Linked DNA regions of Arabidopsis thaliana. The protein of the gene in region 1 interacts with the protein of each later gene in a pairwise test. Each region holds a gene or a part of one and is shown in the gene's direction. Other genes may lie near its edges. The genes, in order: PRA1.B2, RAB8 and ATFP8.

What was found.
Region 2: the proteins of PRA1.B2 (region 1) and RAB8 interact in a two-hybrid assay, tested with the Arabidopsis thaliana proteins (one large-scale study listed by BioGRID).
Region 3: the proteins of PRA1.B2 (region 1) and ATFP8 interact in a two-hybrid assay, tested with the Arabidopsis thaliana proteins (one large-scale study listed by BioGRID).

The regions. Positions count from the first base shown.
Region 1 is NC_003071.7:16,863,827-16,867,499, reverse strand, and holds PRA1.B2 (prenylated RAB acceptor 1.B2), read left to right. Parts: upstream 1-1,912; 5' UTR 1,913-2,124; coding exon 2,125-2,766; 3' UTR 2,767-3,054; downstream 3,055-3,673. Other genes in the region: AT2G40390 (neuronal PAS domain protein), read right to left, coding at 1-115. UniProt on the Arabidopsis thaliana protein: May be involved in both secretory and endocytic intracellular trafficking in the endosomal/prevacuolar compartments.
Region 2 is NC_003074.8:19,877,126-19,880,882, reverse strand, and holds the start of RAB8 (RAB GTPase homolog 8), read left to right. Parts: upstream 1-2,090; 5' UTR 2,091-2,188; coding exon of another isoform or gene 2,189-2,341; 5' UTR 2,342-2,493; exon of another isoform or gene 2,494-2,616; 5' UTR 2,617-2,618; coding exon 2,619-2,691; intron 2,692-3,119; coding exon 3,120-3,192; intron 3,193-3,280; coding exon 3,281-3,381; intron 3,382-3,482; coding exon 3,483-3,548; intron 3,549-3,701; coding exon 3,702-3,757. Other genes in the region: AT3G53611 (uncharacterized protein), read right to left, coding at 2,189-2,341. UniProt on the Arabidopsis thaliana protein: Involved in membrane trafficking from the Golgi to the plasma membrane.
Region 3 is NC_003074.8:3,709,903-3,713,659, reverse strand, and holds the start of ATFP8 (Ras-related small GTP-binding family protein), read left to right. Parts: upstream 1-2,042; 5' UTR 2,043-2,262; coding exon 2,263-2,276; intron 2,277-2,357; coding exon 2,358-2,430; intron 2,431-2,542; coding exon 2,543-2,590; intron 2,591-2,674; coding exon 2,675-2,722; intron 2,723-2,795; coding exon 2,796-2,867; intron 2,868-3,059; coding exon 3,060-3,215; intron 3,216-3,548; coding exon 3,549-3,652; intron 3,653-3,757. Other genes in the region: AT3G11740 (LURP-one-like protein (DUF567)), read right to left, coding at 271-414, 518-748, 1,024-1,233. UniProt on the Arabidopsis thaliana protein: Protein transport. Regulator of membrane traffic from the Golgi apparatus towards the endoplasmic reticulum (ER).

The DNA.
Region 1 (3,673 bases):
GGTGTGATGAATTTGGAGAGCAAATACACATGGACATTAAATTTCCTTTCCATAGAGAAAGAGGAGGAAGAGTTTGAAGCCAAGCAAACGCATCAGGTGTGTCACAAGAAGCCATTAGAGCTAATATTGAATATCTAGTTGTTGTTCTAGATATGTGTGGTATAGAGAGTATATGATTAGAAGACTAGATTTATCATTTATATATAGAGAGAACATTTTAATGAGTGGAAGAAAAGTAAAGGAAGAAAGATTCGCTTATTTTTTTCAAAAGGTAAGCTAAACAAAATCATGAACTATTTTACGTAAACCAGAAAATATAGAGCTACGCACGAACACGAGACGTCTCTTTAGTAAAATATTGAAAATTTGAAATGTGATAATGATTAAGAGTCCTGCAAATTATGAGATAACGTACAAGGAAAAAGGTTTAGATGATAATTAGAGTAGCTAGACCGTTAAGAGGGATGTAATTAAATTGATAAAGTACGTGCTATTCAAGATTCTTCCATATGTGGATTTCAACCCGAATTTCCAAGAAATATTCTTGATTAGGCCGACGAATATTGTTATTCGATGCCTCTATTCTACTCAATAATGTTTCTTCGTCTTTATTTAGTTTACTAATTATATGTTTGATACATAAATAAATACGAATTATGGAGTGTGTTTGTATATACATAAATACGAATACGAATTATGGAGTGTGTTCAAATAATTATACATAAATAAATAAATACGAATTATGAATTATATACAAATATAAATTATATACACTTGAAGCCTGACGATTACAATAGCAGCTGATCATTATCTTCGGGGTGAATTCAAATTATGGATTGTGTTTGATTTCCTCAAGTCTTAATTTTCATCTACTTTTCAAACGACTAATTAATAGTGGCTACATAACTAACGACTCGATGATAAACACTCCAAAAAGCAATCAATCACTTGAGCAAAAGTTCAAAAGAAAACACTCCAAAAAGCAAACGCAAACACCAAACAAAACAAAACTCAAGTAGAGTTTTAGATAAAGCAACAGTAGAATTTTAGAAAAACCAAATTAAAACACCAAGTGTTTATGCCAAATAAATTGGCTAGACGAAGCAAAACAAGAACACATTATTGATAGTGTAGATTTGGAGTTCACTAATTGATAGTGCAACGTTTGAGTTCAACATTGCCTAGGCTGAGTGAGAATATCTTATTGTTTCCATCCACGAATTTGAGAAAGTAACTACATGTTACCTTTACCTTCTTGTTATTCTCGTCAACCTCATTTATCTCGGTCATCTCAACATGAACAAGTTCCGCAAACCTCCATTTGTTTTCATTATCTCATTTTGATTGTCCCAATCATGTCAAACTCATCTTTTATCGCTTGCACCCCCTTCTTCATGTAGTCTCCACCACCGGTTGCATAGGCGTCTTTAAAAATGCTCTCGAGTTCCCTCCAGTTGTCTTTGCCCCAAGTTCCTGGTGTCTCAAGACACCATAATTCATATATAACTCATAATTCATATTTATTTATGTATATAATTTGTATTTGTATATAATTCATAATTTGTTTAGCTTCAAGTGTACATAATTTGTATATAATTTAATTTCACAGTTTATAGATATATTTAGTAAACCTTTATCATTCATGATCAATTGATCATATGATTGTTTCATTTGTTCAACGAGAACACTCATAGGGTGGGAAATGAGATGATAATTATTGAAATGATCATATAAACAATTGTAGGAAGTCGTAATTTATCTGCAAATAAAATTAGAATATTATTAACTACACTAATTTACTAGTTTGTGTTGTGTTATCCTTGTAACATCATATAGATACAAACCACTGAACCAGTAAGATTGTTTGTTTGTTGAAAAAAAAAAAATGGTTTTATGAACCAATAGTGGAATATATTGGGCCTCTTCCAACATTATAGACCCATCTAAAAATTGCTATTAACTCCAACTTAATATATTGGGCCTATTCCAAAACATTATAGGCCCATAAAATTTAGGCCTTTAGAATATCTAACACGGTTTTGCCGCAACTTCAGTTTCCACTAAAATCGGAACAACAAATTCACACTCTCTCCGCCGCGCACAGACTCACCGACACCACCAATAATGTCTTCTTCTCCGGCGATTCTTCCCGTCACCAACCAGCAAGCAGCCACTCAATCTCAACCTCCAATCAATTCTCACGCCTTCCGTACTTTCCTCTCACGCCTCTCGTCCTCTCTCCGCGAAAGCCTCTCTCAACGCCGTCCATGGCTAGAACTCGTAGATCGGAGCTCCTTCGCTAGACCTGACTCTCTCACCGATTCCTTCTCCCGGATCCGTAAGAATCTCGCTTACTTCAAAGTCAATTACTCCGCAATTGTCTCGTTAGTCCTTGCTTTCTCCCTCCTCTCGCATCCATTCTCGCTTCTCGTCCTCCTCTCTCTCTTAGGCTCCTGGATGTTTCTCTACCTCTTCCGATCTTCAGATCAGCCTTTGGTTCTCTTTGGTCGTAGTTTCTCAGATCGTGAGACTTTGCTTGGTCTTGTTTTGACTACGATTGTGGTTGTGTTTATGACGAGTGTTGGATCTTTGTTAACATCGGCGTTAACGATTGGAATCGCGATTGTTTGCTTACATGGTGCGTTTAGGGTTCCTGATGATTTGTTCTTGGATGAACAAGAGCCTGCTAATGCTGGTTTACTCTCGTTCATTGGTAATTCTGCTGCTACTTCTGCTGCTGCTTCTGTTGTTGCAGGACGAGTTTGAGAAGCTCGAATTTGATGATTCTGATCCTAGAGAACAAACGAAACCTGGATTCTCAGGGTTTTTAGTTATGTTTTGAGTATAGATTCGATGAAGATCTGTAAGTGTTAGATCTAAAGATGCATTGTTGTGTTGTATTCTTCAATTTCGTCACAATTTAGAAAATTTGGAGCTGATCCTTCTCAAGTATTGTAAGATCTCATTTACCTTAAATCAATTTGATACTCTTTGCCTTCATCACCATATGTTTGAGTTAGATTTAGACTAAACCAGTGAAGATTATAGTTTGACCAAAGTATTAAGGATTAAACAAACAACATGTAGTTTAACAACATACGTGGTAGATGTAAATCTTGTAACTAGTTATGTCTATGTCTCTCTAGCTACCAACTATTTTATTCTTCCACAAGTTTCCTCTATCTCGAAAGCGAACAGCCAATACTGTGTACGAATTTGCTGATAGTAAGAGGGTTATATCATGGGAAAGTTTCCCACTGGATTTACATGTTTGGCCAATTTGACAAAAACGACACACGTTTAGTTTGGGGATTTTGTCTTAAAAACTCGGCTGCCAAAAACAAACTGAAGATTCGGTCACCTGAATTGTCTTTTTCGGTCAAAGTCTCACTGAGTTGCTTCTTTCTTAGATATAATATAGGTGACCTGTTTTTAATCTTCATAACATGAGATATATTTTCGTGGAATGAGTTGTGTCTTGTGAAATCTTTTTTCTTTGGTTTTAATGTTAAGAATGTCTTGTGAAATCTTTTCCTGGATTCTAATTATTGGTGAGAATGTGAGATAAAAACAACACTTAGGTACTAAGTTACTAACCATTAAACATGAAGATAAATAGACAAATCCTCTTGTGTAAAGAAGATTATCCCACTTGTAACGAGAAGGTTTGACA
Region 2 (3,757 bases), on another chromosome or scaffold:
CATGGCTTATGCAAACAGATTAAAGACACCCAATCCCAAAACCCTAGAAACCTTCCGAGGAAGAACAAATCCGATTGAAAGAACATTTCGAAATCCGTACCTGAACAAATCGACAAATCTGAAATCTCCCGAGATAAAGTGTCGTCGAATGAAGAAGAAACGCAAGCACAGATCTCAAGAAGGATAACCCAAAGGAGAGAGAGAGAGAAGCAAGTGTAGAGAGAAAAGCTAAAGGAGAAGAAAGCTGTGACTAAACGCGTTCCCGCTCTATGTCTCTGCTTCTGTGCTATTTGAAGACTCCATTTTTTAGTTTAGAAAGAATATTAATATTTTTCTGGAAGGAAAACAATAAATTAAATTCTCTTTAATTTTGGAATATGTCCGGACCCGAAAGTGTCAATGTGGCAAGATTTTATTGGATGATGGAAAAAGAGACATAGACGGAATTCCTAACGGCGGTGGGGTCAACGTAAGGTTTGGCTGTCTGATACACGTTAAAGTGACTCGGATTGCGAGGAGTCCACGTTAAGTCTCCGTTAGCTACTGTTAATTTGGGGAATATGCTGGAGAGAGTTGAGATCAGGTGTTGGCGAGTGCACCGAAAATTCGTGTTCAGATTTATGACATCGCAATTTCTCTGTCGGTGGATTACAAACTGCAATCAAAAGAAAAGCATATGTTAATCTGTCAAGTGAATATTCGTTTTTATTTTCTTTCTATACATAATGTATATGGATAATTCAAACAAAAAGATGTGTAAAATGATAAATATGGGTGTTTATCGTATTTTATATAGTATTAGGATTCATGCAAAAATGCATGGATTGTCTATGATAGTAATTTTGGTAACTATTATTTTTTTATTTTTTTTATTTTTTTTTTCAGCTGGTAACTATTAAATTAGTAGAATTTAAAATAATTTATACTTTTAGGATTCCTATGATAGTATAGGATTTCTATACTATTTTGATATTAGGAGTTTAAAATAAATTACTAACTTATTATTATTTTAAATTATTAGATTTATACTTTTAAAAGTATTAGATATTATATGGATTTTTGTTGTTTACAGCTCTTTTTTTTTTTGGTATTTGAACTCGTATTATAATCGGTTACTGGCATTGATTGATACAAGTCACCAATTACCATCACCGTAAGCACCGTTTTATGATTAATTTTTATGATAAATATACACGTGCATTTCAAATAATTACCATTTTCATATCGGAAGGTTTTGGATAATCTTTCTGACTTTTTGTATGGTAAGAGTTTAATGAGATTGGGATAAAATTGGATAAACATGAATCTCATTGTAAATTGGAGTTAAAAGCATTAATAAGACGATCACATTAACGTAATAATTGCAGTCTACATTCAAAACAAATCTGAGAATGTATGCTTTAACTTTTTCCTTTAATGTCAATGGAATCACTCTTCGTATCCATTTAGAAAAGGAAACTAGATCGTATAATTTAGGAAAGGCTTACGTCGTGTCGTGTCATTCCCTAATTTTTTTGGATAATAGTTAGATATCGGAAATAATTGGATAAATTTGGATTAACATAGAACTAAATAGTGTAAGAGTAAAAAAAAAACATTAAATAAGACAGTATAGGGGCTTAAACTTTTTTGTTACCTCAAGGACGATATTTTAAGTAAAGTTAGCTTTCCTTTAATGTCAATGGAAACACTCTTCGTATCCATTTAGAAAAGGAAATGGATCGTGTAATTTTAGGAAAGGCTTTCGTCGTGGCATTACCTCATTGGTCGTGAAGAAGTGAAGATGTGGACTTGTCCGCAGCGGATGATCGGTGGATGGGGTTGAGTAAACGAATGCTCATGCAGTACATTAGATGCTACGTAGGATCATTGTAGATTCCTATCCACGCTTTATTCTTTGGATGATTATTTGCTTAACACCGACGACAATATATTCAAATTTCCTCAATTTGTCAATCGCTCTCTTTTTGCCTAACTCTTATTATTATTATTATTATTTTGCCTAACCTTTGCGTCCCCTTGGAGTTAAATAATTGAGTTTATTTACAAGTGAAGGGATTGAAACAACTTTTTTTTTCCCAGAGCTTAATCGCAACGCAACTCAGAACGAAATATAGAAAAATACATATACTGTATGAATATACTTCATCAATTCTGTAACCTGTTGGGTTGGATCAGTAAGAATAAACTAAACATTTAGTGGACACCAAATCATAAATTTAGCACACAAAAATAAAACTAGCCCAAGGCCCATGGTTCGAAATTTATCAAACCGTAACCGAAGACCACGCGCCGGACCAACACAGATCTCCACGAACAAGATCCAACGGTCCAGATCCATTCCCTCTCCTTCTCCCTCTTCTCTCTAACCAAAAAAAAAAAAAAAACTTCTGAATCTCCGAAAAAAGCCAATCGGGGGAAGAAAAAAATTCAACGGCCGTCTGGTTACTGTCTTGCTTGCTTCCGACGATCTATCTTCCCCGAGTAGATTTGGTACTTCCTTCTTTCGATTTTTAGGTTCTACACAATTGATTCTCGATTTAAATTTTGTCTCCAGTTTTTGCTCTCTTTGCTTACCAGTGATCCGTTTCTCGGAAATTACTTGATTTTGTTAAGAAATGGCTGCTCCTCCTGCTAGAGCTCGTGCTGATTACGATTACCTCATTAAACTTCTGCTGATCGGAGACAGCGGTAGGTTTCTATATCATTCAGATCGTAATACTACCTTTTGTTCCCTGCATTTTATTCAATCTCTATCTTTTTGTTGATTGATTCTCTCGATTTTTGTTGTTGTTGATTACAATTTAAGTTTTGTTTGAAGGATCTTGAGACAACAGTGATTTGAGTAACACATCTTACTCAGATTTGGATCTCATTTCAACAATTGTGAGCATATGATGTTCATAGTCTTCTTAGTTTGGTATTAGGATGGAGGAGAATCACAAATGAATGCTGTAGCTATTTAATTATATTCTCTAGATGTTAATGCCGCAAATGCTTTAGCCAAATTGATTTGAATATTCCTTTGTTGATTGTTGTAAGTAAGTGTTTCACTATGTTCCAGTGGATTATTCTAATGTCTCTGTTTTATCTGACTTTTGCTTTCTTTCATGTACCAGGTGTTGGTAAGAGTTGCCTTCTCTTACGTTTCTCAGATGGCTCGTTTACCACCAGTTTCATTACAACTATTGGGTATGATGTCTTCATGCAATGACACTGTGTTATCACGTCCTCTATGTAGTTCACTGTTCTTACTCAAGTTGCTTTTTGTTTTTGACAGGATTGATTTTAAGATACGGACTATTGAGCTCGATGGGAAGAGAATTAAGCTGCAAATCTGGGATACTGCCGGACAGGAGCGGTTCCGCACAATCACAACTGGTGTGTTTTCGATCTTGCTTTTCGTTTTCTCTTTTTGCTGTTATTTATGCATCTTTGCCTTCCTCGCTGGAATACACCTGAGTAGTTTGTTCTTATTGCAGCGTACTACCGTGGAGCCATGGGGATTTTGCTTGTGTATGATGTGACTGATGAATCATCTTTCAACAGTAAGTACTCTCTTTACTTTTTACTTGCAGTCCTTATGCCACCCAACAAGCTCTTGCAACGGTTCTAAACTTTATATTTTTCCATTTGCTAGCTTTATTATTTTCTACTCAACTAATTTGTTCTTTTTCATCCTTTGTTTTCTTCAATTCCAGACATCAGGAATTGGATCCGTAACATTGAGCAGCATGCTTCTGATAGTGTCAACAAG
Region 3 (3,757 bases), on another chromosome or scaffold:
GAATCTCCAATGGCTGAAACTTCAGAGATGGTAAAACTAAGTTTTGAGACTTTTGATACCTGAAGATGTTTGTCTACCTCCACAAAAAAGTTTGGATTTGTCTTTCGCACATTTTCTTAAATACGGTTTCACTATTATAATGATATAAATTGATAGGCCTTGGTGAAATAAATCACTAAAAATATTGTAATAATTAACATATACTGTACTATGTTTTCGAGTATTATTTAGATTTGCAACGCACAAAAAGAAATTAGTTGATAACTTAATCTAGTCTTCTGAATCTTCTCGGTTAATGTCATCGAGGATTACAATGAGAGAAACTATAAAAGCAAAGTCAACATTCGGATAGACAGTAACCGAAAAATTACTCTTCCCAATTAATATGCTTTGTGCCGTATGTTTCTTGTGCATCTGAAAAAAACAACAAAACAACAACAATGACTCAATTAACACGATCATATAACTAGCTAGTCCGGTTTATACAATTTACAGACAATTTGATCAGTGTAATTACCTGAGCAACAATGGCATCAGATTTGCCGGCGTAGACGACACAAGACCGGTCGATCCAACTTCCTTTAACATGGAAGTCGCAAATCTTCATTTCTTTATTATGAGCCAAAAAGATGTCTAGTTTTGGCTTCATTATTTGAATCATTGAAGATCGTTTCAATGTGTATAATAGATCACTTTGGTCTGTACTCTTCCCTCTATATACTAGCCACCTATCATGCAAGCTCACCTTCTACAATTTTTATGTTATAAGAAAAAAAAGTTGTGGATCAGATTTTATTGGATGATCTATGACGATTTAACATACTCGAATGAGTGATGATGATTTTGATATTATTTACAATTAGTTGATAGACGTATTGAAAAAGTGTACCTCCATGCAAGTTATAAGAGCATGTTTGTGTATATATGATTTGCATAATGAAATTTTTTTTTTGTATCACCATGAAAAAATTGTGCCTCTCCATGCAAGTTATAAAGAATTGTAGTTGATAGACGTATACTTACATTTTCTCTCAAAGTCAAGATTGGAGTATCGTATGCGTCCAATAAAATCCTTTTGTCGCTGATGCTAAACAAAGGTTCCTTGACTTTGAAAAGGAGATTGCCGTTAACGTCCGTGACGGCGAAGTTACCATCGGTTAAAGTCATCACCTTCCGTACGATTCCCAACTCGATAGGGTACGGTGCACAGAAATTAGGGCTAACGATCGCCATCTTTTTGAAGATCTCTCTCTGTTTTTTTTTTCTCTTTTACGATTCTTGTATAAGGTGGAGATTTGTGTTCGTTTCTCAATCTTTTTAGTTATTTATAATTAGGATATTCCAAGTATTGTGTGAAACAAATCTTCGTGTTTTTAATTTTGTGTTTTTGGCTATATATGTTTTGTTTATTTTTAGAACTTATCTTATTTTAAATCTGCTAGCCAAGTTGCAAGCTGCAAACACGTTAGCGTTACTACACTTTTTTTTTTTGGTTATATAAAAAAAAATAGTTTGATGGAAAAAAAATATTATAAATTGAGGAAATATCTTCTTTTTTGCCAGAAAAGGAAATTAGAAGAAACGTAAAATTAGAAGGTAACTTTTGGTAGGATTAATATGACTTAATTAAAAATGATATGAATGGAGTATGAAAAAGAGAATGATTTTGTTGATAAAATATACTGTCATATAAAATTGGAAAATCCATGCATATTCAATCAAAGTTTTTCTTTTCTTTTTCAATATACCTTTTTAATCCGCTTTAAATACTTCATTATATTTAATTCCTCACATCTTGATCACGGATTATAAATCAAATTTATGTAAAATTATCTTCTCTAAAAAAATAAAAATAAAAATTGAGACATATACATGAGTAATAAAATCCAAACCTTTAATAACAGGGCCAGGACGTTAACGACGGTTAAGTTAGATAGACAAGATTTTGAGCTCGGCCCATTTATCAAAAAGCCCAAATAAGAAGACACACACACGTAAAGAAATCAGTGAGACAAGGTCAAAGCTTCTTTATTGTCTCGGGAAAAACAACAAGGAATTAAACAAATATTAAAAAAACTGGGAACAAAAAAATCCAGTAGAAGTCGTGGGGTTCAATGTTCATGTAAATTGATTGACACGCCCCCTAAACCCAAACCTCTCTTTTTTTTTGTTTCTTATATTATAGAGAAAAAGAGCTTTTTCCCGGAAAGTTGTTCTCATCTTGGAAAATCAAATCTCGGAAACGCAGTCTTCAGCTAAATCATGAGCAACGAGTAGTAAGTGTTTCTCTCCTCCTTGAGAGCCATTCTTTCGTTTTCGATTTTACTCACACCGATTTCGATTTTTTGTTGTTGTAGCGATTATCTGTTCAAGCTTTTGTTGATCGGTGACTCCTCTGTTGGAAAATCGTGTCTTCTTCTCCGATTCGCTGTGAGTTTGACTTGATTTTGATTCTTAATTGATTCCGTCGTCGAGAATTAGCTCGTGTTAGGTTTCTTCTTTTGTACTGTTTCGTGATTTTGGGATTTGTTGCTATTTCTAGGATGATGCTTACATTGACAGCTACATAAGCACCATTGGTGTTGACTTCGTAAGTTCATTCTTTGACCTTGTTTACATACATGATCGAGATTGTTTTATCCCAAACTTACTTATAATGTGGTTGGTTTTGCAGAAAATTAGGACGATTGAGCAGGATGGGAAGACGATTAAGCTGCAAATTGTGAGTTTTCAATTATATAATATGTTTTGGATGATTGTGTTTACTCAATTTTACTGTTGCTGCTCTCTTTTAGTGGGATACTGCTGGACAGGAGCGTTTCAGGACCATCACTAGCAGCTATTACAGAGGAGCTCATGGAATCATTGTGAGCAATCTTTATATTCGCTTTCTTACTTGCTTTTTTTTGGCTTACCTAGACTAGTGTTATGTCCCTATTTCCATTTCTCATTTTAAGTGGTTTAGTCTGAGATTGGTATTGTAATGTTGGAATATGAATCATTTTAATGTTGTAATCCACCCTTTAAGTGATGAACCTTAATGATGATAATTGCAACAGATTGTTTATGACTGTACTGAGATGGAAAGCTTCAACAATGTGAAGCAGTGGTTGAGTGAGATCGATAGATATGCCAATGAGAGTGTTTGCAAGCTTTTAATCGGTAACAAGAATGATATGGTTGAAAGCAAAGTTGTTTCCACCGAAACTGGAAGGGTAAGCTCACATCCCTAGTTAAGTTCCCAGCAATTTTTCCATTTATGATTTTGCTTCTATCTTATGCATAACATCCTTTGCATGGTACTTTCCCCTTTCCTCATTTGATCATTTCATGGTTTCGCATATCTTTAACCATGTGATGATATTACAACCATTGAGATTGTTATACCAGAATTTACGGCTATGAATGTAGATGATCTCTGACCAAATTCCCAAAGCTAGATGATCTGAATCCACCGAGTAGAAATTGCTTATTTTTGCAGCAGCTGTTACTCCTGATACAACTGTGAATTGGTTTTCTTACATTTCATCTACTCAAAATCACTGCAGGCCTTAGCAGATGAGCTTGGAATTCCCTTTCTTGAGACCAGTGCCAAGGATTCTATTAACGTTGAACAGGCATTCTTAACTATTGCTGGCGAGATAAAAAAGAAGTATGTTCACTATCTTTAATCTTTCGCCATAATTTTTTCTGCGAAGATTTAACATAGATTAGGTTTAGTAAACTTGTTCTATTACTATATTCCTTGATCACCATT